4 linked regions of the Solanum lycopersicum genome follow. Each later gene encodes a partner of the first gene's protein in a complex. Links are inferred from orthologs where the notes say so. Each region holds a gene or a part of one and is shown on either strand. Other genes may lie near its edges.

Region 1 (8,289 bases):
ATAATATTTGAAAAAAACTTGGTAATTAGGAATTTAGCTATATTATTTGTCGTTTCTTAATAAATACCTTATTTTTTTAAGTTATAGAAAAAAATCATATATTGCGTTAAATTTTAGTATTCAAAAAAAAATTAACATTATCCTAAACTTTCATATATTATGAAAGCATTCATTATTCATTAATTACGATTAGTATTTATCTACGACCAACTCTATTAAAAAGAATAACGTTTTAATGGGTAATAATTTATCTTGAACCAATTAGTCATTTCAATATGTAGTTATTGTAATGCTCTTTTCATTTTTATTTTATCTTTTATTGTTGTTGTTAATTGCTATCAAATAAGATTAATTTTATCGAAATATATTCATTATAATTTGAATAATTTTTAGAAATTATAGGTATAATTATATTTTTTAAATCAAATATATTTTTAAAATTATATAACGAAGAGCATGTAGAAACTCTCCAAAATTACTTAAGAATATGCGATCGCACGCTATCATAGTCTTATAATTACAATATGTGAAAATGATAAAATATACGTAAATCTGACTCTTATTTATATGATGAGATTGTTCGTTACTTAGTTTAAAAAATTAATATAAATTTTTTGTAAATATTTTCAATAGAAAAAGATAGTTAAATTGTGGGGAAAATGAATTTATGATGGGTGGTCCCCACGTCACTAATGGCCAAGAAAACGAAGAGGTGGATCAAATTAGGTTTCATTTGGTAGTTGTTGGTTGTTTTGAAAAATCAGAACTCTTCTCAGCCGTCCGATTCGATGACTTTTTAGAAGTCTCTTTATATTAAAAATAATAATTTGACCAATGTGCATTTAGCAATTTTGAAGACATTTTTTGGTTGTTACCTATATGGTAAAATATAATAATGTTTGTTTTGATTGTTGATTAAGTATTATTGTATATCGTATTATTATTTTTTGTTATTATATAAAGAAAAATGTTGTTTTATGTATTAGATTTAGCGGCGTTTATTTTTTATGTTTTTTTATCATTTAATAATTTTATTTTATCTTTTAATTTATTCTTTTTATAGCGATTTTATTGTATATTTTACTTTTTATTAGATTTACCTTTAAATTGATAATGTGTGATGATAAAAAATGAAATATAGTATATTCAAATGTTATATTTCACAAAATAATAGTATGTACGGTGAAATAATAAGTGATAATCATCCAAATAAATTGTAAAAATGATGTTTTGATGTTCCAAAAATCCTTATAATGGATGTTAGGTTTTAACTTTTAATTGATTCAGTTTATATCCTAAGTAGGTGTTTGGACACGTGATTCTATATCGCAATGTGAAATTAATGATTGAATATTTGACTTCGAGTTTTTATCATGAGATGAAATTCCTAATTTTCTAAAAAAAACATGTATTGAGAATTTCAAATCATGATTTGAGAATTTTCAAATACAAAAAATGATCCACAAGTTTATATTTTGTAAAAACAACATCAAGTTTACATTTATTGGCCATTTATTTCATATGTAAAAAAAATAATTATAATTCATATTTTACTTTTTAAACTTTTATATATCTTATAATATCGATTATTCTCACCAACATAAAATTAATTTTTATTTAAAATAATTCTTATTTTGCTATTTTTATTCACCAGGTTCATTATTTTTAACAAATTTATTTAAACCAAATTGACTAGCAAATAGCTCAAAGTGACGATGTTCTTTCATTTTCTTGGTCATATGATCGAAAAATGCAAATTTAAAATTGCAAGTTTAAAATGAAAGTAATTTATCTATACTATGTGAGAGGGTTATATAAAGATATGTATACTACAGTTTATTGTATGATTTTTTTATTGAATTAAATTTTAATCAAGAAATCTTGTATTTTTTCACAATAGCTCTGTTATATAGTGCACTATGCAAGTTTTATATTTGTTTATTTGATAAGTTGTATAAGGAGTCGAAACAATATTAATAGTTTTATAATTATGAATTTTATATGTTTATGAGAAAACATAGAACATAAAAAGTCCAAACTGCATATCAAAGCAAAATTTTAAATCGAAATTTCATATCGCATTGTGAAACTGGCTCTGATAAACCTCGTTAGATTTGCAACTTGGCATTCTAATATTATGATTTTTTTAGATTATTATTTTTTATATTATTATATTTGTATATTTTGAGAAATCAAAATTAACAATAACGTACATGAAAAAATTTTACTAGCCAAATAGGCCTTTGCTAGAGTAATGAAAAGTACGATGGAGATAGGTTTGATAACAAGGTGAGCAAAAGGGATTGACGCTTAACTCGTAGAAGTTAATAAAATATTTTTTCATTTTCAATCCTATGTAAAGACCATCACTGAATATTAATGATTTTTATTAATTTTGGTTGTGGATTGTAAAGATATAAATAGTAGTTGATGAATCAAAACACGACCATTCTATTAATGAACCACTCTAAAAAAGGAAAAGCGTACTTATAAAAATATTACAAATTGTACGGTTTGAATAATTTGATCATAATAGTCATTAAATTTCATGGCTATGTTATAATTTATAAACACGAAGTATGATTTATATTTCAACTTTATCCATCATAGTAGCTTTCAATATTTATACATAATTAGAGTGACTTTTTTTTTAGATTTTATTTAAATTTATGTAAAATTCATACAGACTCGTATCTCTTGCATAATCTTCAACTTGTACCCGTCATGAATAACTTAAAATTCACACGCGCTGTTTTGCATCTATTTCGTTTCATTGCCATCCCTAATTGGAGAGAATGAAAGTACACAAAAATAACATATTACATTTATTATTCAACTATTTGAATTTGAAATACGTGAAATAATAAATACATAATACATACATGTTAGCTTTGATTCGAGGCAATTTATTTCCATCACATTGTATCGCTTGTGAAATTCGATACAACGGCTTGCCAAGACTTTCAAGAAGTTGAATGACATATTGGTGTGGTTAGAAGCCCGCGAAATAAACAAACATGATGATTTATGCAAATACAAATTATTTATGCAATCTCAAGGAAATTAACAAAGATATATGAACTTAATTGTAAAAAATACGTTTGATCATACATAACTAACAAAGTAAAAAAACAGAAAATATTTAACGCTAGTATGATCAAATTTCAATTCGAAAGTCTAGGGTTGAAAAATTGCATGTTTGACTTCCCACACTAAAAAAAATATGAATCTCAAAATTTCATAAATTTAATTTTCACCTCGAAATGTCTAAAGTTAAATTATAAATGTATGAAACATTAATTTAGATCCCAAATGTTTGAAATTAAACTTTACCAACTTTTAAAATTAAAATTGTAAAGTAACTTTGACATTTTCAATTCAAAACTTAACTTTATATCAAACTGAATAAAAATTAAATTTTATCCCTATACTTCTATTATTTCAAGCATGAAAATAAAAAAAATTATAATTTTGTAAAAAACGTAACATTGCACAATCGATTAAATATTTTCTAGAATAATATCCGTCGTAAAAAAAATAGATCTAGTAAAACTAGCATTACCTATCTAGAAACTTCCCATCATATCGTATGTATCGGTTCAAATGTAATACATGTACATTGAAATAGAAAAATATAGAAAGTGGAAGCAATGTATGAAGTTTTCTCTTATTGGGTTAAAATTTAAATACTTTAGATAAAAATTGAGTAGATTTTAAATGATATCCTTAAAAGTGGCTATCTATTGCAAATCATACACGAGAAAGTCCCGAAAACGGAGGCCCATTTCACTTTCAGCCCAAACCCAACTTTTCTTGTGCAAAGGGAAAAGTGCACAAACAAAACTCCGATCAGTGTTGTTACTCTGCTATTTTTTCTCCGATCGAAGATCAACTATTCCGATTTCCGACGATGAATGTAAGTTTTTTGTGTTATCTCGCGTTGAATCGAAGAATTTTGTTGTAATTCTTTGTAATTTTTGTGTGGAAATGGTGATGTTTTCAGGTGATGGATTCAGCTCCGGCTAAAAGTAGCTTAATGAGTCCCGAATCTGATATTCAGAGAACACAGTACGTGCTCTCTTCCACTCTTTGCGTGTTATGAGATTTTACAGATCTGATTTGTAGTATGTTTGATGTTTTTACGAAATAGGGTTTTTGTTCTTATTTTACAAAAATAAAATAAAATAGAAGAGGCACATAGTTTTAGTAGCTCAGCTGGCTGGTTTGTTCGCTACCTGTATTTTCACCTAGTGGTTCTTTTGAGCAGAGTGTCTGTGGAAACCATCCCAATGCAGTGGTAAGGTCTACGTACACACTACGCTTCCCAGACTTGACTTGTGGGATTACATTGGGTAATGTTGTTGTTGAGTGTTTTTCTGGATGCTATTAGCTAGGCTTAAGTTAACTCTATGTTAATATGTATGTTTAAGGATGTTTTTACTGCAAGAGTTACCAGCAAAAGTAATGCTTTTCAGGCGAGTTTTTGAACTTTCCTCTGTGTGGTGGGGAAGCCTTTAGGCATATTTGGTTGATTTATAAACATTTACATAGGCGGGGGTAGAGTAGAAGGTACGAGTTTTGCTTATTCCAATAGCTTTCGTCCAACGTTTCCAGACCTTGGATTTGTCTTTAAAAGATCTGTTTAATATGTTGACATTATTAATTTAGGATGCAGTAACACAAAAGGGTTTCGATCCTGATTCCATTAACATCTAATCCTAGGTGTACCTATGTACATAAGGATGCTGGTGAAGAGCATTGGATATGGAGGAAAATGTTCCAGGTAGAAATATGTTTTCACTAGAAAAGAAGTTTCTTTTAGTGAAAAAAATATGTTTTGGATGGTTTGTCGGTGTTTGGTTAGGTGTGAAAGTATGTGACATATGGTAGTAATACAAGATGGAAGAATATATGTTTATGCGGATATTTTCTAGTGATACTCTTAAGTATTTAAGATTGACTACGATGTTTAAGCACTAGTTGAGCAAAATGATGTTAGTAAGTGTTTCGATACTTATAAAGGACTTATGCTCATAAGTAACATCTATTTCCCTTTAAGCTGAAAATAGTTTATTTCAGAAAAACAACATCAACATTTTTCACGGAACATTTCTGCCATGCCAAATGATTGATTTTTGATCTTTACTGGAGTTCTCAGTCTGTGGCTTATGGTATTATGAACCTGTAATTTTGTTTTCCCGAGTAGAAGGAATGAGGTGCGGGGTTAAGTTGAGATCTCATCTTGCGTGGCTCTTGGATTTTTGCTTCCTAGGATACATCTGGACCACAAAGGAGTTTGCAAATACATTTGGGCCAGAAATAACTTTGCGGATATCTGGTCCAGAAAGGAATTTGCAAACTGTATTTACCTGTTTCAGCTGCTTATGCTCTTACCGGTGGGTTTCACTGGGATGTTAAAGCTGCTTATGCTTTTAAGTTGTTGGACTTAATCTTCATACACGCTAAAAAGTGAAAATAAAAGCATTACAGAGGATGAACTAGGTATAAATCCTTTAGTGAGGATGGCTGAGTGTTTATAAACAACCTCTCTACCCCACAAACATAGGGGCATGGTCTCAAAATCCTTTAATGAGGAGGGCCGAGTGTTTATCGGAAACAACCTCTCTACCCACAAAGGTAGGGGCATGGTCTGCGTACATCGTATCCTCTCTAATCCCTACTTATGGGACTACACTGGGTATGTTGTTATTATTGTTGTAGTGAGAAGGAGAGTCATATAACAGATTAAAATTATTGAATGAGAGTATCTGCATGTTGGAAGAGATGTGCAGCTCTTTGTATGTACCATATCCTTTGCATGCATGGGAGATGTAGTTAAATTTAAGAGTACCAACAATGTCATGCAGCAAATTTTTACCTTATGGATACATGCTCACTCGTGCAATGAGATTGTATTTATGTAATTTTCCTTTATAATTCCTTACTGTGCTCGAGATGTTTGCAATTTTAACTTGTATTGTTCTCAATAGGTTTCCATATGTGACTGGGACATCAGTTGTCGGCATCAAGTACAAAGATGGTATTCTCTTGGCAGCTGACATGGGAGGTTAGCTTCTATATCAAAGATTTTGTCCCAATCAGTGCTCCGATTTTTTCAAAAAAGTATATCACATGGTTCCGTCACTAGGGAAAAGGGATAGAGAATTGAAAGATCTCCTATAGAAGTTCTCTTTTGTCATTTTAATATTATTTGATGTTAAATAAACCCTCCAATACATGCTAGAGATAATGTAGTATGTGTTGTCATCTTCTTTCTTTTTCCATTTTCAGGTTCCTATGGTTCAACGATACGTTACAAGAGTGTGGATCGATTAAAGCCAGTGGGAAAACACTCCCTTCTTGGTGCAAGTGGTGAAATAAGTGATTTTCAGGAGATAATGAAGTACCTTGATGAGCTTATGTACGTCTGTCCTTATTCTTGTTTATTGTTATTGTTTATATAATTTTTGATGGGCAACAGTTCTGGTATTCAATGCTTCGTAAATGCATGCAGCTTGTATGACAACATGTGGGATGATGGGAACTCCTTGGGTCCCAAAGAAGTGCATAACTACCTAACACGTGTGATGTATAATCGTCGCAACAAGTTCAACCCACTTTGGAATTCACTTGTTCTTGGTGGAGTAAAAAATGGACAGAAGTATCTTGGAACAGTAAAACACAATACACTGTCTTGCTTAATTTTAGACAGATCGTCTCAATTGCATCCCTTACTGATAATGCTTGTGTTTTTTTCTTTTATTCCTTAGGTTAGTATGATTGGTGTGCATTACGAGGACAACCATGTGGCTACTGGATTTGGGAATCATCTTGCGAGGCCCATTCTTCGTGACGAATGGCATGAAAATTTGAGTTATGAAGAGGGCGTTAAGTTATTGGAGAAATGTATGCGTGTGCTTTTGTATCGAGACAGATCTGCAGTCAACAAGCTTCAGGTACAGAGTCCTCCTGGGGTTTAGGTAGAAAGTCAGTGCTTTAGAACTAATCAAAATGAAACCTCTTAATTTGCCAAGATGTGTTCCCGGAACTTCTTTCGTCAAACCTATAGTTTATGAGTTTCCTGGTAATTGTAGTTTTAATTGTGGGTCTATAGCTCTGAATTTTGCATCTGTTGTCATTCCTACAAGTACCAAGACTATAGTCTGATTCTGCATTTTCATAATCTGTCACTGCTTTCCTTTTCTAGAATAAAAAATAAAATCTACCACTATTTATTTCTAATTTCTGGCACCAATCATCCTTTTTAATTATATTGCCGCAAGGAAGTATTTCTCTACTAGATATGAACAATAAGACAGGTTTAGTGTGCTCTAGCGGAAGCAGAAGAGCTTATACTTCGATCTTCAAGTTCCATAGCATTTGCTCCCTAGATCTGCTCAATGTAGATATCTATTGTGGTTGACTGAAGGTTGGTTTCTTGTTTTTGTACTTTAGATTGAAATGGGAAAAAAATAATGGTAAGGTTGTTGAATAATGGAGGTGAACGTGATGATTGCATGTATAGATTTCCTTTCTGATACAGAATTCATCATCAAGCTCATTTTAGATAATATAGTTGTGAGATTTGTCTGCTCTTTCTTTGTGATTTTATTCTGATGTTTCTCGGACTTGCAGATTGCAAAAATCACAGAAGAGGGAGTAACAATTTCTCAGCCATACTCATTGAAGACTTTCTGGAACTTCTCTGCTTTCCAGAATCCAACCGTTGGTGCTGAGGGTTCATGGTAATAACTGATTGCTGCGTCGACTAGGTTTGATGAAGGAACTACACAATGTGTTGCAGATTATAGAACTGTTTTCATGGAAGTGATGTTTGATAGAACTCGTGTAATTTGAATTGTCTATGGTCTTTCTAGGTTTTTTCCTAATGTAAACTATAAAAGACATGTCTCCTGATGTTTCACTTTTCCTTCACTATGTGAGATTGTTATCTTCCAAAGTTACTTGGCATGCCATGGCTCATCTCAGTTATGGAACGTGGTCGTTTTTCGCCTGGTTGATATATTTTCTAAGTTCATACAGAAGTACACGCCCCTGGTTTACCTACTTTTAAGTTGCGTTGCTTGGACTCTTGACAATTTTGTCACATTCAAGTGTTTGATCCTCTAAAAATGCTCTATTTTTGGAGGATCAACATAGTCGGAGACATCTTTTTGAAGAGTTTGAGCTATGTTATCGACACTTATCCAGAGATATTGAGCAATACAGAGCTTCCAAGAGATGCTTAATATTACAATTGTAATTATTAAGCATCATTTGCGATCTCAT
Region 2 (8,428 bases), on another chromosome or scaffold:
CGGAATCATGACTGGAAAGGACAGCATGGCATCAGAAATTGCAGTGCAGTCTTTTTCAATTTGTTCTACCACAGAAGAATCTTTGATGCTCATCAGCATATCGCACATCGCATCAAATGTTGTCTGCAGCCAAATTTCACATGGTCAGCGAACACTCACTGCAGCACACAACACTACTATTTCTTTTGGTAATTGTATACTTCAACATATAGCTATCTCCCTACAGTATGCTTAGAATCTAGTAATTAGGATGACACATCGATCTTTTTCTGCCTGGTTTATTGTATCAAAACTAAATCTTGTTTCAAACAAATCAAAAGGGACTAAATTTTTTCCAAGCTTTGTGTTATTACTAATTAAAACTAGTGGAGTAATAGATTATAGACAAGTTACCTTCATGTTGAAGTCAAGCACAGTGAAACTCTTTCTTTGCTTTTGTACTTTCTTCAATCTTTCATATAGCATTTCATCAAATCTCTGTACAAATTTTGACAGTGAATTCATAGAGAAAGGATCAGATAGTAGGCGCCTAATCCTTTTGTGACTCTCTTGAGGAACACATAACAAACTTTTCTTTCCCACAGCATCTGCCATCGATTTGACGTAGCCCTTGTTGAATAGAGCAAAATCATTAGTAAAAATTGCTTTCGCACCCTCAACACTTGGAACAAACACATGTATTTTCCCGAAAATTCTGGTTTTGAACCATTTCCCATGCCTGTATTAAACAAAACAATAATCAATCTAGCAAAATTTTGCAATATAAACTATAGCTGATAAGCTGGAGGAACTTTGGTAGGATTTTTATCATAACCATAGGAACTTATTTATAAACATTTGGGAAAAATATTGAATAAAAATCCTATGAACTTTCTCTGTTTTTTTTTTAAATCATTGGAACAGTTGACCTAGTATCCGTCATCTCAATATAAAATTAAAGCTAGTATATATGTTTGATCTCAATATGGAAAAAAGCAAATTGCTGGATTTGATATTGCATTAGAACTACATGGATTTAAAACAAATAGAGTTTCTTACCGCTCGCGTCGAAGTCTAACAAATTCATAACAACCTTTGACACTGTTGGTTGCTGATAGAAGTGCGAAGGTTTCACCCACGAAAGGTATTCCCAAACTCCCAGGTATGCAACTTTTTGCATTTTTAGCTCCCTTTGACAAGTAAAGTGCAGTAATACTTATGACAAGTATTGAAACTAGAAGAATATCATAGTATTTGCTTAGTAGGAGAAGTATGTCTTCCATTGACATAGTAAGCATATTCTGATTTTAATGTCAACCTGAAAGGACAAACTATCACTAATAAGTAATATATAGTAATGCACTCACTTTCTAAGACATAATTTAAAAATGCATTAGGTAGAGATTAGAAAATTCAAATGTAAGTATAGGACAAGATGCCATAAGCCTGGATCTTTTGTCTTCACTTGCTTTCCACAATGGCTACGGATCTATCTTTTAAGATACTACTTAAAATAAAATATAAGGATGACAAATATATGCAAGTTGCTTTCAATTACTTTTCTTTGTGCTCACTGAAACCTTATATACTCCCACCTCCGTCCGTTTCAAATTAAGTGTCATCTAAATTTTTTTAATTATACCCTTATATTATTGTCTTTTTAATAATCTCGTATTTAATTAATTGTCAAGATACATTTATTAAATAAGTATAGTTTAGCAAGCTACACGTTGTATTTATTGATTTTTTTAGCGAATGTGGTGAGTACCTTGGTAAGCCGGCATGGTCTATTATTATGAATGAGTGACCACTTAAAAGATGATATTGACAGCTAGTCATGAAAATTTGTGAACAATAATCAAACATATACGAGGTAGTGACTAGTGAGTACAATCTTCAAAAAAGAAAATAAAAACATAAGCAAACCTCTTGGTCTTGGATGCTTTTTATGTGTTCAAATGAGTTCTGCTCATTTGGCCATGTTTTATTATAAAAAAAAAGTATTAAAAATAGTTTTTGAAAAATGATATTTAGTAACTTTGAATATAATATAAAAAATTCATGGTCAAACACCTCGTATCAAGAGTGATTAGGTATGTTTATATGATTGTGACATTCAAAGAACTTAGATGGGATATAGGAAAAATGAATTGGTAGGTACAAATTATAGATAAAATTGGACATCTCCATTTTCCAATTGATATCCTTTGGCATGCCCAAAAAGAGGGCAAATTCTTGACATGTGACAAATGAGATGGTGCACTCATTTCGGCTGTGATCTAAATTCTATCCAGTTATCGGCATACTCTCTTTTGTTTAGTCTAAACTAGATTTTCAACTATCCAAATATTTTTAGAATTTCTCAACTTCAACATAATATTTTTAGAGTTCGTTACGACAATTGAGGTTTTTTGAAATTAAACATTTTCATCTCATAAAGATAGTAGTAAGGGTATAAGACTTGCCTGCCTGCCTCCTTAATTCTACTTTGTAAGATATATTAATATTTTAACTAAAACTCAAAAAGTCCAAATAGAGAATTTGAAGTTAAAAAGCTTATTTGAGGAGTATTTGATTTGAAATTATGATTATTTTTTAATAAGATTTTAATTTTTCTTTTTTCAAGTGAAATATGACAACAACACACACCCACACACAAAAAAAAACAAAAACTTTCATATATAGCAAACATAAAATTCATATTTGTATGCTATAACAAAGTTTGTATAATTGCGCTCCATAACGAACTTATGTATGTATAATTCACTATACATATATAACTGAAGCAAATTGTATAAAACGAGAAAGAGAGAAATTATATACAATTTGAATCGTATAAAACGAGAAAGCGAGAAAGACATAATTGAATTGTATAAAACGAGAAAGAGAGAAATTATATACAATTTGAATTTGTATAATATGAGAAGAGAGAAAGGCAAAGAGACTTGAGCAGGAAATATACAATTGAATCGAATTGTATAAAACGAGAAAAAGAGAAATTATATACAATTTGAATTCGTATAAAACGAGAAAGAGAGAAAGACAAAAGAGACTTGGGCAGAGAAGTACTTTTAATGTTCTTGGGCAAGGAACAAAAAACCCATTTTTAAGTGGACAGAATATTGGGCCTAATGAGGAAGCAATCGGGGGCCTTTTTAACACTAAGCCCATCTAGCGCTCATAGTCAGATGACTTGCTGAAGACGAATCATCAGTCCTTCAAATTGAATCTTCTTCTGCAACCCTAGATCCATCTCTCTTTCTCTCTACGCATCGAATCACCATGACGAAGCAGCAAGCTAACTGGTCTCCTTATGACAACAATGGCGGGTAATGTTTCGTAGATATTTACTTTTGTTTTTGCTTTCTTTCTTTCATTTTCTGTATCGGTGCTTATGCCCCTCGCGTTTCGACTTTGCAGAACCTGTGTGGCAGTAGCTGGAGCAGATTACTGTGTAATTGCAGCAGATACTCGCATGTCCACTGGCTACAACATTCTTACTCGCGATTACTCCAAGATCATTAAACTGTATGTTCCTTTTATTTATTTCAAATAACTTGTTTTCTGTGCCATTTAGCTAGTTAATACTATGAAGTAGGCTAATAACATCTTGTACATAGATCTATATATTTGATAGACAAAGCTCCATGCTTTGCAATCACTTTTTTGGTAGAAAGTAAAAGTTGCTCTTCTATACTGATCAAGGTAAAATTTATCCCATGCATAATGATTTGTACTATGGAATTGGAGAAAATTATTCAAACCGCCACTAGTCTTGCGGGATTTCTCGGTCATAAAAGAATGTTGTTATTCAATTTTTGTTTTCATATCAAATGGATGAACTGAACTATTAGTACTTTTAATTTTAAAGAAACGGACTAGCATAAAATTATCACAGTTCAAGATTAGTTATTGACTCAACATATTAAAAGGAGAAGAAGTGAACTAAATCTCATTGAGTTGCCGCCAGAAATCAAAGAGAGAGGGTTGGACTATGGGTGAGAGGGTGCTGGTTGGGAGTGGGTAGCAAGTTTGGAAGAGGAAAAAGAGGGAGCAGTCAAAGATCAGAATGCAAACCTGGGTTGCATTTCTCTGTTTGGATGAATCTCGAATGGAACTAATTTCAGTGCTGTTCTCGTTGTTTGCTTGACGAGGCGCAGTCAGTAATTAAAAAGAAAATTTAGCCAAGAGGCAAAATCAAGTTCCATGGCTCATAATTGTATAAAATGTGTTTGACCTTTACTATATAGACTCTGTATTTGCTAAGTACTCCCTCTATCCCTATTTAGTTGTCCACTTTAGAAGTGTCACACATATTTTTTTGGCAATAAACTGTGAATATTACCATACAAAAAAAAAACAAAGTATTACAATTTCGTAAAGTGAACACAACACTAACATCTAGCTATTAACTATCTACCACACATCCTATGTATTAAATCTTGACACTTTCTTGCTTTTCTAGACTCCTGTACTCTTTCTAATCTAACTAATAACTCCTTCTTTATTTGTGTGATGATAAAATTTGTATTTACATGTTCCTGCCTATAGTGCCTCCAATTCCTCACTTGCCAGGTATAATAAATTGTTGCTCCATACATTGCAGCTACTGCTTCCTTCTTGAATTGTTTCCAACGTCTTCTTTTAATCCACGCCACTATTTGTTGTATTGTGCGTCTTAGCATTGCCACACCCACCCAGTTAGCCAAATCCTCTCTCACTGCATTCCCCAAATGACAATCAGGAAACAAATGTTGATGTGTTTCATCACTCTCTTGCTGACACAAACCACATGCGACATCTTCAACTTGTATATGCATATGTTATAGTCCATCTTTAGTGAGCAGTCTTCCTTGGTATGTAAGCCATAAGATAAATCTCTGTCTAGGCTGCATAATAGAGCTCCAAAGTAAGTCTGCTTCTGGGCATTTATGTAGCACACCTAGCATGGCTTGGTAGCTACTGGTCATGGAGTATACACCATTTGATGTCAAAACATATTGTCCCCCTTGATACCATTGGAGCATTTCCGTCTTCAAAACATTCAGTTTTTTCCAATACCAACTACAATCTTGGGGTGGTATGTGTTCCCAAATGTTATCGGTATCCTTCATATAGATCCCATGTACCCATTTGACCCATAATACATCTTTCTTGTTTGACAGCTGCCATAAAAGCTTCCCGATAGCAGCTATATTCCATAATTTGCAGCTCTTGATATTTAATCCTCCATACTTCTGAGCTTCCCCACAAGAATTCTCTGCATTTTTTATCTACTTCCTGCAACACACTTTGTGGGAGGATAAACACTGTCCCCCAAAAATTATATATCGAGAACAAAACAGCATTAACTATCTGTAGCCTCCCTGCTTATGACAACTGCTTTGAATAACCTATTGTGATTCTCTTTGTGATCTTCTCCACCAATTGGTAACAATCCACCTTGTTCCATTTTTTTGAGGATAGTGACAATCCCAGATACCGTATAGGTAGTACACCCATTGAGAACCCTGTACTACTCAAAATTCTCAACTTTGCTTCCTCAGTCATTCCAGCAAGAAATATGTTAGATTTCTGCAAATTTGCTTCCACGCCAGTCACAGCACTAAAATGTTTCAAAGCCTCCATCACCCTTTTAATAGATTTTGTGTCTCCTTTGCAGAACACCATTAAATCATCTGCAAATATTAAATGTGTAAGTTTTGCTGCTTTGCACATTGGGTGGTATTTGAAATCAGCCAGATCACTCATCCTCCTAAGAATTCTCGTAAGATACTCCATAACTAACACAAATAACAGAGGAGAAATAGGGTCCCCTTGTCGAAGCCCCCTCTTGCCCTCAAAATATCCATAGCCTTCTCCATTCACTTTAACTGTGAACCTCGTAGTGGTCACACATGTCATTACCAACTGCACAGAGGTTCGTGGAAAATTATAACCCTTTAAAGATTCCTCTATAAAGTCCCAACTTACCATATGATATGCCTTCCGTAGATCTATCTTCATCATACATATTAAGGCACCAAGTATTATCATAGGTTAGTTACAATTATACCCTTAACTTAAAAGATTATGCAACTCCCCAAGTATAATAAACTTATTTTCTGGTTCCAAAAAGCATGCATTACAACTTAGTAGTACTAGAAATTTTCTAGAATTAAATAAGGGCATATTAGGAAAAAAATTGTTGTCCTTTCTTGATTTGTTAAAATAGACAAGTAAATAGGGACATATATAAAAGGAAATATGGACAAGTAAATAAGGACAGAGGGAGTATAACTTTCCCATGAATATAGAAATTCTTTTTGTGAAGCGGTTTTAAAACCAACTTGCCTTTAACTGCCTCTGCTTGGGGGATGAGAGTATAACAAGGTTTGCACTTTCAGGATTAACAATAAACTCATGTATAATTATCTCCTCCAGTCCTCCTATGCATCATAGCATGAGAGAATGAATTAGATGGGTATGCATACATGTAATCTTCACCTTCCGTCATGATACTAGTTGGTTTCTCTGCTTTTATCTTTACCCAAACCTTTTCCTAATACATCAGTTTTGCATGTTAACTGTCTGATTATGTAGAGCGGATAAATGTGTGATGGCATCGTCAGGATTTCAGGCTGACGTGAGAGCTTTGCAAAAGGTTTTGGCATCAAGGCATCTGGTAAAAATGCTAGAAGTTTTTGTTAATCCTTTATCTCTTCAGTCAGTTTGGTATGGAGCATGTAGGATGTTTTGTATCTTCGTTCAGTGTGCTTCACCTGTTTGTGCAATATGAACTTATCAACTCATTGTGAACCAAAAATTTGATTGTTAGCTTGCATGATGTGCGTGTCTTTATGGACAAAAGTGAGTTTGCATTATGTGATAGAGAGACAGAACAGTGACCATGATCTGATCCATGAGCTTTACAATATTTAGCCAGAGGATATGATTATGGGCAGGATTGGGGTGGGGTGGGGTGGGGATGGGGTTTCTAGGTGTTATAATTAATACATAAATTAGGCTTGTTTTCTTTTCTTCCAATTGATGGGGTGGCTTGGAGTAACTGGTAAAGTTGCTGCAATGTGACCGGAGTCACGGGTTCGAGCCTTGGAGACATCCTCCGGCAGAAATGCAAGTTAAGGCTGTCTATAATAGGCCCTTGTGGTCAGGCTCTTTGCCAGACCCTACGCATAACGGAGCTTTAGTGCACTAGGCCCCGACTGCCCTTTTCTTTTCTTCCAATTATCAATGACATGATCAGAACCTTTTTTCTGGGTACGCGCATTGTGTGTGTCCCTTATTGATGAGTACAAGTTTTCTAAAAAGTCACATAAATACTAGTAAAATATGTATTTGAGTTGTGAATAAAATTAAAGAAAAACAATTCAAGTCCCTGAAAATAGTAAAAATCAGTGATATTTAAACTAAACTCAATATCAAGGACGAAATTGTTCCTCTAAAAGGTACAAAAATGTCTTCCTGAGTCATTCACATATTGTTGAATATTACTACGACATAACAGCTTCTCCTCTTCACCCCCGAGAAAGCATGATCACTCATTTGTATCACTTAGTCACGTTAATCAACACAGATACACTGTCATTAACACTTGAAATCTTGGGTTCTTTTTTCAATAATCGAGTAATCTGTTGTTTTTTTGGTTTCAAAACTCAGTGGAAATGGTCTCACCCATCTATACTATATTTTAGGGCTCAATAGATGTTGACAATTTTAAACGCAGGGAAAAGTGTAAAGCATGTATCATTTAGCTTGTTTCACTTAAATGTACATCATATTTTTTGAAACATTTCTTGCAATAAAAATTGCAAATTGAGGAACTTCTCCTGACATTCTTTGGGATAAGGCATTAACTATTAAGGTACAACTGTTGCTTCCAAATCTAATTTTCATTCTTCTAGTTCAGTTGTATTTTCATTTCTTATGAAACTAAATATTGATTTTCACCTTACATGTTATCTACTTATGAAATGGTATGTTTATAGTATCCTAATGGGACTAAAATATAGGACGACATCTGAAATGGTAATCTGTAGTTCTTTTATCATGTATCATGTGCTGTCCAGAGTTTAGCATTTACATTTTTCTGTGATACTGGATAATGATCTTTTGATGTTTATTATTTTGCAATAGATCTACCAGCACCAGCACAATAAGCAGATGAGCTGTCCAGCTATGGGCCAGCTCCTTTCGAACACACTATACTACAAACGTTTCTTCCCCTACTATTCGTTTAATGTTCTAGGTGGCCTTGACAATGAAGGTAATGGGTTAGCTATGGTCTAAAGGTTATTTGTTTGTAGTCTTTTCTGGTAAAGAAGCTTATACAATTTAGTCCATAAAATTTGTAGGGAAGGGGTGTGTCTTCACCTATGATGCTGTGGGATCATATGAGAGGGTTGGCTACAGCTCTCAAGGTTCTGGTTCAACTCTGATCATGCCTTTC
Region 3 (6,757 bases), on another chromosome or scaffold:
TCTAATCAGATTTTAATTACATAATCATCGCTAACATAAGTTCAATATAATATTCAAAATTTTATATACAAACTGATTCGAATACTACGAATAAATATCAACGGTATCCATATAATGCCGGCGTTGGATATGGAGGGTCACAGGTTCAATCCTACAATTAGGACTCATCTGTGACTTGTAATTCTTATCATTATTATCCACCTAGTATTAATTCTTTACAGATTATGTACCTTTTTTTTTGTTTTTGGAAAACACATATTTTAGTAAAGAAGGACTAGGATAGAAATTGGATTTGTTTTTTGACTATAGATATCTAAATATATATTATAGAATTTTACTATCTTATTTGGATGATTTATTTATAAAAACAAAGACCAATTTCTATTTTGGGAGAATGATAGTGGAGAATGATAGTGGAGAAAATCCTACAAAGGTTAACAAATATGCATGCGCTTGTGCAATTGTTGCTTCTATGATATCTATCATATTTGGTTATGGTAAGTTTCATTCTTCATTACTTCAAATTGTCCGAAGTTCGAAATATAGTGTCTTGGTTAATTTAAATTCAGTTCATTAAGGAGCTAAAACATTCCTTATTATGAAAAAAGTTCTACATTCACATGTCAAGGAATTATTGAGCTAACGATGTACGATTTTGTAAATATCTTTTGATTGTAACTAGCATCGTTATTATTAATTACTTTCTCTGGCTCAATTTACGTGACATACTTTTTGTTAATTTTTTTTTTAAAATGTCATATTTCTATAATTAAAAACAATTCTACTTTAAAAACCTCTGTTTACCCTTTTAAATGGCCAACAGATGTTTTAGATCACGGATTTTTTTATGTCAAGTCAAATTGTGTCACATAATAAATGGAGAACAAAGGAAGAATATATAATCGATAAGAAATGAAAAAGTATTAGTGTTAATATGTTCTAACAATAATTTTATGTTTTTTTTTTTGTCAGATACTGGTGTTATGAGTGGAGCAATGATATATGTGAAAAAAGAATGCCAAAACAGAAATATTAGCAGGGATTCTAAATTTATGTGCTTTAGTTGGGTCACTTCGTGCAGGAAGAACATCTGATAAAATTGGAAGACGTAACACTATAGTTGTAGCTTCAGTAATTTTCATGATTGGATCAATTTTAATGGGATATGGACCATCTTATATAGCATTATTAGTTGGAAGATGTATTGCTGGTGTTGGTGTTGGATTTGCACTTATGATAGCACCTATTTATTCAGCAGAAGTTTCATCACCATCGTCACGTGGATTTTTAACATCTCTACCAGAAATTATTTTACTTGGTTATCTAATTACATTTTTTCAACTTAGTATAGTTACAACTTATGGTTTTTCAATATTGGTCTTGGTCCAGTTACTTGGGTTTAGGTATAGGGCATTGGGTGCTGGTATTGGTGTTGCTGTTAATAGGTTGACGAATGCTACTGTTTCTATGAGTTTTCTGTCCATTTCTGAAGCAATTACAACTGGAGGTGCTTTTTTCATGTTTGCTGCAGTCTCTTTGGTGGCTTTGATTTTCTTCTATTTCATGTGCCCTGAGACTAAAGGAAAGTCTTTGGAAGAAATGGAATCTGTTTTCACTAGAAGCAAATCCTCAGATAATTTCAAAAAATAGGCATTGAGAGCATGCAGGAGTTAACACTTTGTATATATTTCTGTAATTGTAAATGGTAATAGTTAACATTATATTATGATATGAAACTATCTGATATTATGTCCAAAGTAACTGTTTTTACATTTTTGTGAGAGGTCATGATGATAAGCTTTAGGTAGACATTCATGCGATCAAAATGATAAACATACCTTCTACTTGCACATTATTCCTTCCATTCTGAATAATCATCATACCTTCTGCTTTGGTATAATCACCACTACATAACCAAAATCCTCAGAGCTTTAGAGGACTAAATAGTTACTAGTCGGAGGAAGGAAATAATGTTTAAAATGGATAGCTACAAGATGAAAAGATCTCACCTTCTTCCCCTACGGTAGTTGCATCAAGTTAAAATTGAGAAAGATGGAGGGTATGTTTGTGTGTTCTTTTCTTTCTCAGGCAAACAGAGGCACAAACATGTCAAATGCAGTAAAGTACCACGATAACAACAAATGATGAAGTAAATCCAAAACAAAATTCAAACTGGAAAGCATTTGACATAAATATGCATGCAGTTGTAAGAAGACAAATCCACCACTTAGTTTTAGTACAACATGTCACACATGGCGTAGAGAGAGTTCAATGATGTCATATGCTAGATTGGAAGGCATTCTACGACTATTCTTCTACTGTAGGTTGAGTCAGTCCAGCACTCACCAACATTTTGTTCAGAGTTTCGGGAGAGCATGCTTGATACTTGACTTTCCCGTTAGAGAGAAATACCTCAGCAAGTTCAAGTTTCTCCGAAGTGAGGCTAGTGCTGTCCATTGTCTTACCAAGCACTTTAAGAGCAAGTTGAACGGCCTCTTCCCTTGTGATATCATCCTTGTAATCCTGCTTAAGAATTGATTGAGCTGCCTGGTTGTTTGCTCCAATTGCTGCGGCTTTCCAACCACCGTAATTTCCACTTGGGTCGCTCATGTAAAGTTGGAAGCCATAGTTTTTATCCCAACCTGCAAAGAGAAATGAAACACCAAAAGGGCGAAGCCCACCAAACTGTGTGTAACCTTGCTTGGTATCACATAGTGACTGGACAAGTTGCTCAACTGGCATGGGTTCTTGATAAGCGAACGTATAGCGCTGAGCCTGAAACCTGGCTGTGTTGATCAGAATGTTGGCATCAGACATAATTCCAGCTACAGCGCATGCCACATGATCATCGATCTTGTACATCTTCTCACTTGAAGTAGAGGTCTGAAGCAGCTTAGATGTAACTTTCTTTTCACCTACCAACACCACCCCATCCTTGGACAAGATGCCTATAGCACTACCTGCATTTCCAATAGCCTCCATTGCGTACTCAACTTGGTAGAGACGACCTTCTGGGGAGAAGATTGTTGTTCGGCTATCATACCTTCGTGACATTTTTTTCTTTACTGCAGAATACCTGATAAATTAACATAACTTGAGCTAGTTAGATAAAAATTTCAGAGCACATAAAACATGGTTCATTTTTTTACCCTTCCCATGAATAAGTCTAACTAACGAGCATGTTGGCAAACACAACAGAAAGAAAGATACAAAACTGAGTCGAAACAATATATAAGTCCACACAAGAGTTGAAGTTGAAAATTGTCAACCTCAGGGACTTCCCACCTGTATGGATAAACTTGTGGACATTTGAAGTGTGTGTACAGTGATACTGGTAAGAAGAGATTTCATAGATGAGCTTGCACTAAGCAAATGCATGAATAAAGAAGGTGCAACTCCTCGATTGTATCTAACATTGCATCTACATCATGTACAAGAACCAGGTTTCACCAAAAAGCTAGCAAATAAATACGTTTGTGTTCAAGGCTAAGTATATTTCTTCTTTTCCCTTGAAAATTCTGCTATTTCTTTCAAGCCAACTGTCCACCAAATGGCCTGAGAAATAGTATTCCAAGTTTTTTGGAATTTCTTTTTGAGACCCTCGTTGTTTCAACTATGCAGCAGATAAGTCAGGAGTTTGGCATAGTCCAATACATGCCAAGTAGTGCAAAATACATACCCAAGATGAAGTTGGAGCTGACACTTCATGATGTCATTTAATGAAATTCCTTATCTCATAAAAAAATGTTTCAGAGTGCTAACTGCTAACCCTTCCCTGTACTTCTCAAAACAAACTAACAGGGGCAGTTTAGCATTCCAAAATTAAGGCCCATATGGCATGTGAATGAATTACATTTAGAGAGAAGAAATTTTAACTGAAAAAAACTTGAATATGCAGTTAGCTAAATAAGGAGCAGCAACAAGGATTGCCAGAAGATAACAAGTATAAAAATCATTAGTTAGATCAGAGTTTTCTTTTCTATTTTTCTTCTAACTTGAGGTCAGTGTCAGCTAATCTATATTTATCTGCTATAGATTAAGAAAATAACAAGTCTGTTCTTTCCGTTTTATTTTGGTAGGCATCAAACTGTACAATTTCTTAGTGGTACCAACCAAAGCAGCTTGTTTACCACTTTCACTTCATTAACGATGGGAACTCAAGACAGAATGGGCAGCTAAAAGAGATAATGACAGATTAAACAATGATTATTAGGAGGATTATTTTCATCAAGTCCAGCACCTTTTGAGATCCAACAAGGCAAGGAACCTTCTGAAAATACTGTCCAGTTTGTCGAAAAGGGAATCATTAGCAAGGCCATTGTGGGCAACAAGATCACAATGCAAGTTGCAGATGGAAGAGATTATACAAGTCACGGCAATGAGCCAAAAGGAATTACGACTGGGGACATAACAGAATTTATGGTGCAACTTCTTAGGATTTGAATCAAAAAGAAAAAAGCACTAGCATTATTGCGTATTAAGTTCCACAGGAAATGTGAAAAACTTGGAGGGAGAATTGTTTGTGGGGAAGAGCTCTACTTTGAGTGATTGCAGACTCATGAATTTGGTAGGTTCTGGTAGAATTTTACTAGTAGCAAAAGCAAAGAAGACAAATCACTTTGTCATAACTCTTACTTGAAACACTAAGATGTGGCTTGCCCACTAGAGTAATATAAATACAATTGCCAGACTGGAGGCTAGTACCACCAGTGTCAACTTCAGTTCTTGCAATTGAAACCAAAAGATTTTAAGAGTAGCTCAATTGTATACTAATTGGATGCAGGATACAGTCTGCACTTGGTACAAAGACGGAGATAACTTCTCAAGAAATCAAATCAGGAGCAATGTGATCCAAGGTTAAATATTATCCTAGATTTCAATTAAGAAAACATCAAATGTTTACCAGAGATTGGTTATATGTTGCTCCAAGATAAAAAAAATTTTGTAAAAGGTGAACAGGGGATTATAAAAAGGACCAATTGTAAGAAGGGATTTAAGGCAGCTAAGGTAAACTATTAGCTGTCAGGATCAGAAATCTTATATTAGGTTTCTGTAGATTAAGGCTAAAGTTTGGTACATTTACACTTTCACTCCTTATATTCCAATAAAAATCTAAGAGCATTGTTCAAAAAGGAGAGATAAAGAAAGGAACTATAAAATCGAGAGTTAACAACGCCGAGTGGGTATAGTATTAAAACTCAGTAAACACTGCAGCAATCTTACAACTTAGACTAAACATGCCTTTAACTGCTAAGGAACTATTGTTTACTACAAGGGGAAGAATCTATGTAGACAAACACTAACTAGATCTATCTCCTTTTTAACACTTGAATCTTCAACCGAGGTCGGTACAGTTATTCAATACAGTATACATGAATTCCACACTCAAAGCCATCCTAGAGAAGACCTCACTGGACATTCCAAATGAAGAAATTTTTATAAATTGGTCCAGTCATTCAAAACCCTCCTATAACACTGTGTGGTGCTGTAATTTATCTTTCAAATATACACCAAAAACACCATGGCATAACTACCTAAATCAGGTCATACGACAGGACGGGTTGCTCACATGGCAATCACCCTCCAACCCCCAACCCTAAGGTTGGGGTTCGAGTCACCAATGGAGCTAAAAGGTGCGAGAGCTCCTGGGCAGGGGTTAAAACCCTAGTCATATTCTGCAACTTATACTTCATAAACACCAGATACCCACCCAACTTCCCTAACTAGTGACACCCATAAGCTAAATTGTCTCCATTGCACGTCTTAATGAAATTTGTCTCTCTTTTTTTTCTAATTAAAACAATTCTTTACAACCAGAGCTGCTATAGAAATGAACTTATCGCGCCACCGGTAAAATATTTGTCGTCAATTATCATTTACTTGCAAGAGATCAATTAAACTCCTTCTCATGTAAACCCTCTTCCTACTTTCACAAAAAAAACCCAAAATTTTCCATACATTTTCTTGAAAATATAACCCAAGAAGTTCAACTAATTTACTTATCAATAGAATAACACAAACCCATCACTGAGTTCAACAAAAAGAACATTACAAAAATCAAGAAAAATACCAAGAAATTGGGAAAAGGGAGAGGGTTTATATCGATCAACGCATCAGTAATAGGAAAAAAAAATCGCCATTTGAAGATATAGAAAGATACCTGAGATGTGAGATCTAAAGAGAAGCGCAATGAAAAGAGTCGAGAGGTTTTCTCTTCTTTATGTAGACGAAGAGTGAAGCTAGTCTTATTGCGCAAGTTTTTTATACGGGTCGGGTCGGGTGTCCGCTGAGGCCTAAAGTAGGAATTGCGTCTGGTAGCCAGTTTTCAACCTACTATTTAAGTGATATTCAGTTTTTTTCAAAATATATTTAAAATATAGCCAGTACTGTCAAGGTTGAAATTAGATTAATTTGAGTTGAAATTTTATCTCTATTCAAACTTTTACGAAGGTCACAAAAGAATCAGTTTGAAGTAGTTTGATTTAAAACGAGGGTATTACATAATTTCAAGAATTTGAGTTTAGGGAAGTTGTCATATACCATATTTCAAATTTCATCTTCGAGAATTGTTAGCCTTAAAGCCGTTAATATAACTTGTTAAAACAAAAAATGATTATATAATAAGACAATCAAAATATAAGTTATATTTCTTAGAAATACGTCAATACATTTCTTGAAGATGATTGGAGTTTTCTTATGTTATGAAAGAATAAATAATAACTCTATTTTTGCGATTCAGCTAAATTATAAAACAAAC
Region 4 (8,485 bases), on another chromosome or scaffold:
AAAGTTTCGATTCTTTGATATTTCGATTCGATGTCATTTTTTTAAACTTTGATTTTTTGGTTCAGAGTTCGATGTAAGGGTCCCAAAATTATAGTGCATCGCAGAATTGATGTTTTATTAAATAAATTAAAAATATTTATTATAATACTTAATTTTCAACTTTACTTGTCCCATTTTAATTTTCATATTTAAAGTCTAAACTTAAATAGAAAAAAATCTAAATAACAAAGAAGTAAACCCTAAAGATCTAAAGTCTAAATTAAACAAAACTCAATTTAATTCAAATTTGAGCAGCAACTTGGTGTTTGTACTTTCTATTTTATGATTTTATCATTTTATGTTGTTACTTTGAAGTGTGAACAAAAAATTGATGTCTTACATTTTATTGTTAGATGGTTAGTTGTTATTTTGAAGATTGAAGTGTGAAGGGAATAACAATAGTTACTTTATTAAATTCTCCCTTTATTTTTATTCACACCTAAAAACCAATTTAAAAACACTAAACTAAATTGAATCGAAGTAGAAAAAATCAAACCAAACCAATCTAGTTTGGTTTGAATATGATGTACACTTTTTTTAAAATCGAATACCGAAGAACCAAATCAAAATTTGATTAAATCGAACCGAAGAAGCGTACGCCCACCCCTATTCAGAATGTGTGAAGAAATAACATTCACAAAAGATATGCATAAGGTAATAATATATTACTAAGTTGTAATTCATTTAAGCCTCTTTGTTTAATATTGTTTCTTAAATTTGTTGTTTTTATATGATACTCAGAGACTACTTGAGAAAAGTAAGAATAGTTTTACCTTAAGCAAATCAAAGATATTGCACAATATATATTGAGCCCAATTGATGAAAAAGATCAGATAGAAGTGAGCTAAAGAAGTTGTTGTGTGGTGACCTTCATGATCCTCATTTTTAGAGAAGATTTGAAGAGGTTGAAAAGGATTTATTGAACAAATATTCTCCCAAAACATGATGCAAAGCTTATCTAGATGTAATGTGCAAAAATTAGGTTGTGGATAATAGCTCTAACAAAGTCTTTTAGTGCTTAAATATTTGAAGCAAGATACAAGCAAATTATTGAAATGTTGATAGATATTAGAATTGAAATAGAAAAAGACAATTGTGAGGAAGTGGAAAGTTGATGGTTTTAGTCCCAAAAATGACTTTCTTGTATTGCCTAAACTTAAATTTTTGCTAGACATATTTGCCAGATTAACTGAAGTATGACAAATTTATAGTTTGAACTAACACAACAAAGTACTAGTGACTTAAGTTCCAAAATTATGGTACTAGTGTTTTGTAATTGACATATTTACTATGAATGTTGACTTACAATTTTCCTTTAATAGTTTTGGACCATGTTAATTCATTTCAAATTAGTTCTATATTGCAAAGAGAAACCAAATTCGCAACCTCAAATATTTCATCTCAAATATACAAACCTCAAATATTTCATCTCAAATATATAAAATTCAATAGTTATAATCGAATTATTAATTCTTATAAAATTCAATTCAAAAGATAAGATTCTCCTATCAAAGTACTCAATCAAAAAATTCATTGCAATTTTAAATAAATTCTAACAAAATCTAATTCAAAAAATAAGATTCTCTAATCAAATATTCATTGCGATTAAACTAAACACTTGAAAATTCCATACAAGAACATATCTTCCTTGCACTTGGAAACTGCAACCAAGAAAAAAATGTACACTTACACAAAACTATATCACTTGAAAATTGCAAGAACAAATACCACAAACACAACAAATAACAATATACACAGTATCTTCCTTTTTAACAGTGTCACTTTCAATTTCTTGATTTGTTCACGTCGAAGTAGTTTATATTCTCTAACTTCTTCAATTTCTCTTTAAGTTGTCTCTTTCAATCTTAACCACATTCAACAACTCTCTCAAATCTCCATTTTCATCATAGCAACTTTCAGTTTAGACTTCAACAAATATACTTCGACAAAAGAATTTTTTGAAAAACTATCTGTCCATTTTCAAAATCCACAATTTTTAATCTATTTCAAAATAATAGAGAAGAATTTAGAAACATATTAATAAAAACATAAATCATATGAATTGGCTTTTAGTGAAAAACGTACCTTAGGTAAGAACATCTAAATATCTATAAAATTTTCTTCCGGTGTTCAATGGGGTGCTTTAAGTGAAACAACAAGCAAATTCACCATAAAAACAAGTGATCATCATCGAGTTACTAATTGAATCAAAACTAGTTTCAGACATGTTACAAGGTCTGATTTAGTGATTAAAATGGCTGAAATCACAATTAAGATCGCAGAAGCAAAAATTACAAAAGAATCCTTGAAGAACACCATCAAGCTAGGTTTGTCTATCGCAAGTGAGGGGAGAATTCAAACTATTTTGATTTGTTTGTTATATTATTAGGTGTTAGTAATGAGTGGGTTAGAGGTTATTTGAGAGATCTTTTTAATTCGATGTAAATATTTTTTTATAGATTTATGTTTAGTGAATATTTCAAATAAATACATATGATTATGTCATATATCTCACAATTAAAATGAATGACACAAATGATCTACTTTTAAATATAGAGACACTAGTATCCAAGTAGTATGACAAATGATATTCGTATACCATTTTTGATAGTGTAGAAATAAATTCCTCTTTTTTTCCTTAATTAAAAAAGAAAAAAAAGACGTATATATTTCTGAACCATCATAAATGTTATGCAGATAACCTCCGTCATACTTTTGGGACATAGGTTCCCTATCGTTCAAAAACTAGAGCCTATATACCCTTTATATACTAACGGACATTCACGTATCATAATCTTATCCACTGATCCGACATCAGAGCGATAAATAAAATTGCGGCACGTGTCAATATTTAATCTTCCGTTAAAATGACGGACATATAACTCTAATTTTTAAACATCATGGACTTAATATTCCAAAAGTGTGACAGAGGGTATTTACTTACCATTACGATATTTCGAGTTATATTTGTCCTTATTAAAAGATAATAAATCCTTCCTTTTTCCCTTGAGAAATTGTAGAACATATTTCTTACTCTCCAAGACAGTTGCTAATACTAATATACTTAGTCTCCCTTTTTCTTCTTTTATTTTTTCCTTTATTCTCACTAGGGCTTTTCTCTTTCATTTTTCAATTTCTCTCCTCCTTCGATCTCTCAGCTTTACCCTAAGATGGACAAATCGTCGCTCGATGTGGAGCAGCCACACTCCATGGGAACCACCATCATCGGCGTCACTTACAACGGTGGCGTTGTTCTCGGCGCCGACTCCCGTACCAGCACTGGTAATTCCTTTTTGATTTCCTTGTTAAGTGTTTGATTTATTTTTTTCAATTTTTTGTAATGTCGCCGTGGAAGAATGGAATAGCTGAAAATAAAGTATCTGATTGATTGATTTGTTTTTTCAATTTCATAATGTTGTAATGTGAATACTGAAAATAGAGAGTGCCTTTGATTTACTTTTCAATAGTACTTTCTTGATGAGAAGAGTTTCCTTAACAATTGAATTTTTGTTTTTGTATATGGCTTTATTATGAGGATTTGTGAAAGTAAAGCCTTTTTATATGGATTATCTGAGAAAGATCAATTTATTGTGAAAAATGTAGTAGTATTTTTAGTTTGTGTAATCTAAGAACTGCATTTTGTTGGTGTTTTTTTTTTTTTGGAAATTTAGGAATGTATGTGGCAAATAGGGCTTCAGATAAGATCACTCAGCTCACTGACAATGTATATGTTTGTCGCTCTGGATCGGTATGCTACTTTTGCTCTCTCTCTCTTTCTTTTGAAACCCTGGAACTGCTGTCTGTGCTGTGGCATTATCATTCCTTTTCCCCTTTGTTTCCATAAGGGATTTTTGTTATTTGGTTCAAGTATTGGCATGTTGAGTTTTGTATATAAAAGCAAGTCATGAAGTTAAGGATTTATGGGTGTAGTATCTCCCTTCTTTTTCTTCATTTTTATGTTTTAGGAAGGGGTTATAATTTGGCTGAAATTTGTCAGTAATGAATTCAAAACTCTATTTAATTGAATAGCATGTTATCTGCTCTGCAATGATTGACAAATAGAACGTAGAATAACTGAAATGCTAACTATGCCAGGAGATATTAGAACTGAAATAGAAATGACACGGCTAAAAAATTCTCTGAGTTAGCAATGGCGAAACAACTTTCAGTTTTGAACTTTTTTTGTATCAGCAATGGCGAAACACTTTGCAATTCCAATCCTTAAAATTCTTTGGGGGCTTGCTCTTCCTCAAAAAGAATTAAATCTCTTATGGGCTTAGTTAAATTCACAGGGCAATTGTGTATTGTCATTGTGTGTCCACTTAACGTGGTATGTCGCAAGGATAGAGTGATCTGAATTTTATCAAATAGCAAATTGAAATATTCATTTCTCTCTCTCTCTCTCTCTCTCTGTATCTTATCTATTTATGAGTCACTGAACATCTCTTTACTTTTCCTATTAAGGTAAAGTAATTTACCTAATGAAGAGAGGAAAAATGTCTAGTATACAAGCGGTTATCAAAAAGTAGAGAACCTGGAAATAACTGAACATCCTTTTACCTGCTTATCTTTCTATGGTTTTTGGAAATCATGCTCATATTATGCAAGCTAAGTCAGTATTAAAAGCTAGAAAATTTCAGATGTTCATCAATCAATCAACTGGGCTTTATCCAAAACTACTTGGAGTTTAAGCTATATCAATTGATCCTCGGTTTCCATTCTGGTTTGTCTTACTAGAGAAAAATATACTGAATTTTACTTGACAATGGGACCTACTAACATGGTTTCATTAGCAGCTAGTAGCAGAAGTTATAACTTTTTCCGTTGTCTTGCATATTACTATTGCATCCACTCTCTCCGAGGAATGATAAGAGAACTCGGTTTAATAAAAATCTAGATGCCATTTGTCACTTTCTGATGAATTTTATACCACTGGTACTACTTGGTACATAATTATAGGACATCTATAACATAGTGATGCCAAACATGTCTAAATTAAGATGGATAAGGAGGACTCGCAAACCCTCTATTGAATGATTCACAGTTTGAAAATGTCATATATGCTGTTCCTGTAGTTTTCTTGTATGCATACTTGATATCTGTGGATTCCACATCCATGGATGAAAATAATTGGTTGAGGCTTGTTAATTGATTGTTTAATAGGGCTGAAAATGGAAGTAAAAAATGTATTAAATTTGTTTATTTAGTTACTGAGTTTGTCCCAAGTGCTTTAGGTTTGCTTTTAAAATGTTAAGCTTTAAGTTGCCTGGGTAAACCATGTTTCTTTTGTGGTCAGACAAGTATTGAGGTACAATTTTTCCTTTTTGCTCCTCCCCTTTCTCACATTGAGTGGGGGCTACAGTGGTAAAAGAGCACTCGTCGTAGATGTAGTTCATTATCCAATTTGATTAAAAAAACATATGATGCAACCTCTGTATAAATGTCTAGATTATTAGATACCTGGGCACGCATATCAATTTGCATGTAAAATTGTTTCTTTTTTTTTCATTTAGCACAATTTTTTACTTTCTAATATTGTAAGGAATTTGAGTTCCCAATGGGATTTGATTACATAACTAAACATGATGTTAGGTTTAAAGCCTATTCTAATGTAAAATGTTCCACTACCTTTGTGTTGTATCTGCATAAACTGAATCTTTTGGAAGTCAAAGTAGGTTCGAATTGAGAAATGAAATATAGCATGAGGGGATCATAGTGGTAGATTAGATAAAAGATAAAGATATTAATCCTTCTCGTTTATGACCAAGTAATCCCCAAGGACCAACTGCCGCCGCACGGTTTTAAACTTGGTGAATAATGGGCCCAATATGTATTTATCTTTTAGGACAAGTTCATTGGAAATGCTTTTTAAGAGAAGCTTTCTGTTAGTTTTAGAGGTTTTGTTCTGTACCTTTGAAACAACGGATCTGGGCGATGCTCGAATTCAGGTTATTGATGATTTTATTCTTACACCTCCACATATGTACTCTGTAGAGTCTGTCTTGTTCCAAAACATTAGCTTCCTATTGCTCTGTGGTTAATATATGGTTGATATAAATCCTACAGCATATCCAATAGTTTTATTAGCTTATTAGACAAACAAAAGAATGTGTTTTACTTTAAGTTGCCCAGGCTCTCCAAAAATGTTGCAACTCCTGTGTCGTATTATCCAAAAATGCACTACTTCTGAAGGATACGACACATACCCGATGACATTTTTGAAGAGTCCAAGCAACACATGACTTTTACCTACTTCCTGGTCTAGAAAATGACCTCGGAGCGTTATATGCTCTAAGAAGTTAAAAATGCCTGATGCTTTGAAGTGAACTTCTGGTTTAGAAAATGACCTTGGAGCATTATATGCTCTAAGAGGTTAAAAATGCCTTGATGCTTTGAGGTGAACTACCAACAGCTGAGTTGTTTCCATTTCATAATCTGATACTTGATCCTCTATAGCATTCTCAGAGTCCTATCTCACATATTATTTTAATGATTGTTTTGTAGGCTGCAGATTCACAAGTTGTTTCAGACTACGTGCGCTACTTTCTACACCAACACACGTAACCCATCAACTCATCTTGTATTTTTTCAAATGCTTACTTCCTAGATGCAACTATTATGATTTATCTCAGTAACTTGCAAAAGAATCTCCCCTGATAAGAGGCTATTAACTTCAGTGTCTTCATTGATTCCTTCTTTGTTGGGATTACGGAATTGACTAGTTAACCTATACATACTTTTGAAGTTTGAATGAGCGTGCCAAAATTTACCATCTCGTTTAACCATCAATTTTTCTGGAAATTAGATTATGATGAAGTGGCTTGTGTTTGTCACTTATTTAGTCAAATTATTTTCAGGATGCACTTTCTAAGGTTGAAAGTTTTTGTGGATGCAGGATACAACTTGGCCAGCCAGCGACTGTCAAGGTTGCGGCAAGTCTTATTAGGCAAATATCCTATAACAATAAGGTTTGTTTCTATAAGTAGTATACTATTTCTTATTGTGTTATGTAAAATAATTTCTATCATTTTAAATTTTAAGTATCCTATTCTCTTTTTTTTGCGTGTCTGTTAAAGATTTATACAAATAGCTTGGCAATTGTGGAATCACTTTTTTTTTTATTCGCTACAATGCAAGTAGTTGTAGCTTTGAAGCCAGGACAAATAGAGACGGGCTTTAGAATTGTACCTGTGTTGCCGTATTCTGATGCTCATTGTGTAATAGAGAGTTTCTCTTTCAATGCAACTGTCTAAAAGAGATTTTTTTTCACCATTTAAGAATGGTCATCAAAGCTGGAATCAACATTTTCTTGCTTAGGAAGTTGTGAAAACTCAGTGCATCTCCTAGATGCAATTTTTGTGGTGTAATTTGAGGGTTGGATCACCCATTTATCGAATCATTCAAATATTAATGAGTGGTCATGTCCTAAAGAAAGTTGGAATCTGTGAGTGTACTAACTTCAGCTGTGTCTTGCTCAAAAATAGATGTGGTAAACCTGCTCAGTGGAAAAAAAGTAAAAAAGGAATTTTTCAATGCTGAGCTGATGCCATTTAATTTGTTGCTTCTGCACACCATCGGTATTAGGTTTTCGTTTTGTTTTTAGTTATGCAGCTTCCCTACATGATGTGGATGAATTAACTGTCTCTTTTTAATTTAAAGATTAAGTAAGGAATAATTTTATTAATTACAAGATGTGTATCAAATGACAACCTAGAATAGATTCTAGTTGTTAGAACTGACGTTATCTCTATTTTGTTCCTGGGTTATTTTCCTCAAGCATTGCAAATTCCTTCATCTTTTTGATGCCATTAATTATATTTTTACTACATCAAAAGAAAAAAAAAAGAGACAACCTAGAAAAGGCACCTATTCCTCTGTACAAATAGGAAGAACCTAATGGGTGGACACAAAAGAATAATCAATTACATGAGGCTATATATGATCATTGCTCCATTACTTTTAAAGCTCTCCTATTTCTCTCGCCTTCCTTTTCCGTTGATGGTATGTTTTCCTCTCTGTACTACCACATTTAAAGGAACAATGCTCCATGCTCCACATTGTTCTCTTCATCTACTAAAGCCAGCTGAATCAAGCAACTGTCACCAATCCCCAGCCATGTTTCTGATACAAATTATTTGCATTTCACTGTTAACAAGTATTTAGGGGTCGTTTGGTAGCTGACTAGAGTTATATAGGTATTAGTAATACATGAACTAGTTATGAGGAAATTTATGTATTATTTTTATGCAGAGATTAGTTATGCAGAGTTTAGTTATTCCATCTTCTATTCTGCAGAAAATTTTACCTAGATTACCTCATAACTTATTCATGTATTAGTTATGCAGGTTTCTAAATTGCAAACCAAACACCATATTAATTTTATTTATAGTCCTAACTAACTACCAAACATGGTATTATTTATGCAGGATCTAATACTTGTATTATA

What was found.
Region 2: proteasome subunit beta type-4 (region 1) and proteasome subunit beta type-1 share a complex: the UniProt entries of both Arabidopsis thaliana proteins name them as parts of the 20S core complex. The link is inferred for Solanum lycopersicum from reciprocal best matches to the Arabidopsis thaliana genes PBG1 and PBF1.
Region 3: proteasome subunit beta type-4 (region 1) and proteasome subunit alpha type-4 share a complex: the UniProt entries of both Arabidopsis thaliana proteins name them as parts of the 20S core complex. The link is inferred for Solanum lycopersicum from reciprocal best matches to the Arabidopsis thaliana genes PBG1 and PAC1.
Region 4: the proteins of proteasome subunit beta type-4 (region 1) and proteasome subunit beta type-6 are in contact, whole or in part, in a cryo-EM structure (PDB 7QVE), measured with the Spinacia oleracea proteins. The link is inferred for Solanum lycopersicum from reciprocal best matches to the Arabidopsis thaliana genes PBG1 and PBA1. Residues at the interface, in XP_021842182.1 of Spinacia oleracea: Ser48, Thr49, Leu50, Arg51, Tyr52, Lys53, Ser54, Phe157, Phe176, Glu177, Val180, Arg181, Glu184, Arg188, Leu191, Tyr192, Arg193, Asp194, Arg195, Ser196, Lys200, Ile203, Lys205, Thr213, Ile214, Ser215, Pro216, Pro217, Tyr218, Ser219; in XP_021843991.1 of Spinacia oleracea: Arg32, Ser34, Gly36, Val37, Tyr38, Val39, Ala40, Asn41, Arg42, Ala43, Asp45, Gln49, Tyr55, Tyr147, Ala178, Arg179, Asp180, Gly181, Ala182, Gly185, Val186, Arg188, Arg199, Phe201, Pro203, Gly204, Asp205, His211, Glu212, Glu213.

The regions. Positions count from the first base shown.
Region 1 is NC_090810.1:59,172,463-59,180,751, reverse strand, and holds proteasome subunit beta type-4, read left to right. Parts: upstream 1-3,764; 5' UTR 3,765-3,910; coding exon 3,911-3,916; intron 3,917-4,003; coding exon 4,004-4,068; intron 4,069-4,673; exon of another isoform or gene 4,674-4,730; coding exon of another isoform or gene 4,731-4,783; intron 4,784-5,990; coding exon 5,991-6,067; intron 6,068-6,291; coding exon 6,292-6,421; intron 6,422-6,514; coding exon 6,515-6,674; intron 6,675-6,770; coding exon 6,771-6,956; intron 6,957-7,635; coding exon 7,636-7,749; 3' UTR 7,750-7,960; downstream 7,961-8,289. UniProt on the Arabidopsis thaliana protein: Non-catalytic component of the proteasome, a multicatalytic proteinase complex which is characterized by its ability to cleave peptides with Arg, Phe, Tyr, Leu, and Glu adjacent to the leaving group at neutral or slightly basic pH.
Region 2 is NC_090801.1:64,276,467-64,284,894, reverse strand, and holds the start of proteasome subunit beta type-1, read left to right. Parts: upstream 1-3,103; 5' UTR 3,104-3,261; coding exon 3,262-3,308; intron 3,309-3,399; coding exon 3,400-3,507; intron 3,508-6,561; coding exon 6,562-6,643; intron 6,644-8,115; coding exon 8,116-8,245; intron 8,246-8,333; coding exon 8,334-8,428. Other genes in the region: abscisic acid 8'-hydroxylase 3-like, read right to left, coding at 1-123, 394-718, 1,039-1,277. UniProt on the Arabidopsis thaliana protein: Non-catalytic component of the proteasome, a multicatalytic proteinase complex which is characterized by its ability to cleave peptides with Arg, Phe, Tyr, Leu, and Glu adjacent to the leaving group at neutral or slightly basic pH.
Region 3 is NC_090801.1:61,745,745-61,752,501, reverse strand, and holds proteasome subunit alpha type-4, read right to left. Parts: upstream 3,055-6,757; coding exon 2,308-3,054; 3' UTR 2,167-2,307; downstream 1-2,166. UniProt on the Arabidopsis thaliana protein: The proteasome is a multicatalytic proteinase complex which is characterized by its ability to cleave peptides with Arg, Phe, Tyr, Leu, and Glu adjacent to the leaving group at neutral or slightly basic pH.
Region 4 is NC_090806.1:8,738,283-8,746,767, reverse strand, and holds the start of proteasome subunit beta type-6, read left to right. Parts: upstream 1-3,046; 5' UTR 3,047-3,209; coding exon 3,210-3,321; intron 3,322-3,710; coding exon 3,711-3,787; intron 3,788-6,543; coding exon 6,544-6,599; intron 6,600-6,934; coding exon 6,935-7,007; intron 7,008-8,485. UniProt on the Arabidopsis thaliana protein: The proteasome is a multicatalytic proteinase complex which is characterized by its ability to cleave peptides with Arg, Phe, Tyr, Leu, and Glu adjacent to the leaving group at neutral or slightly basic pH.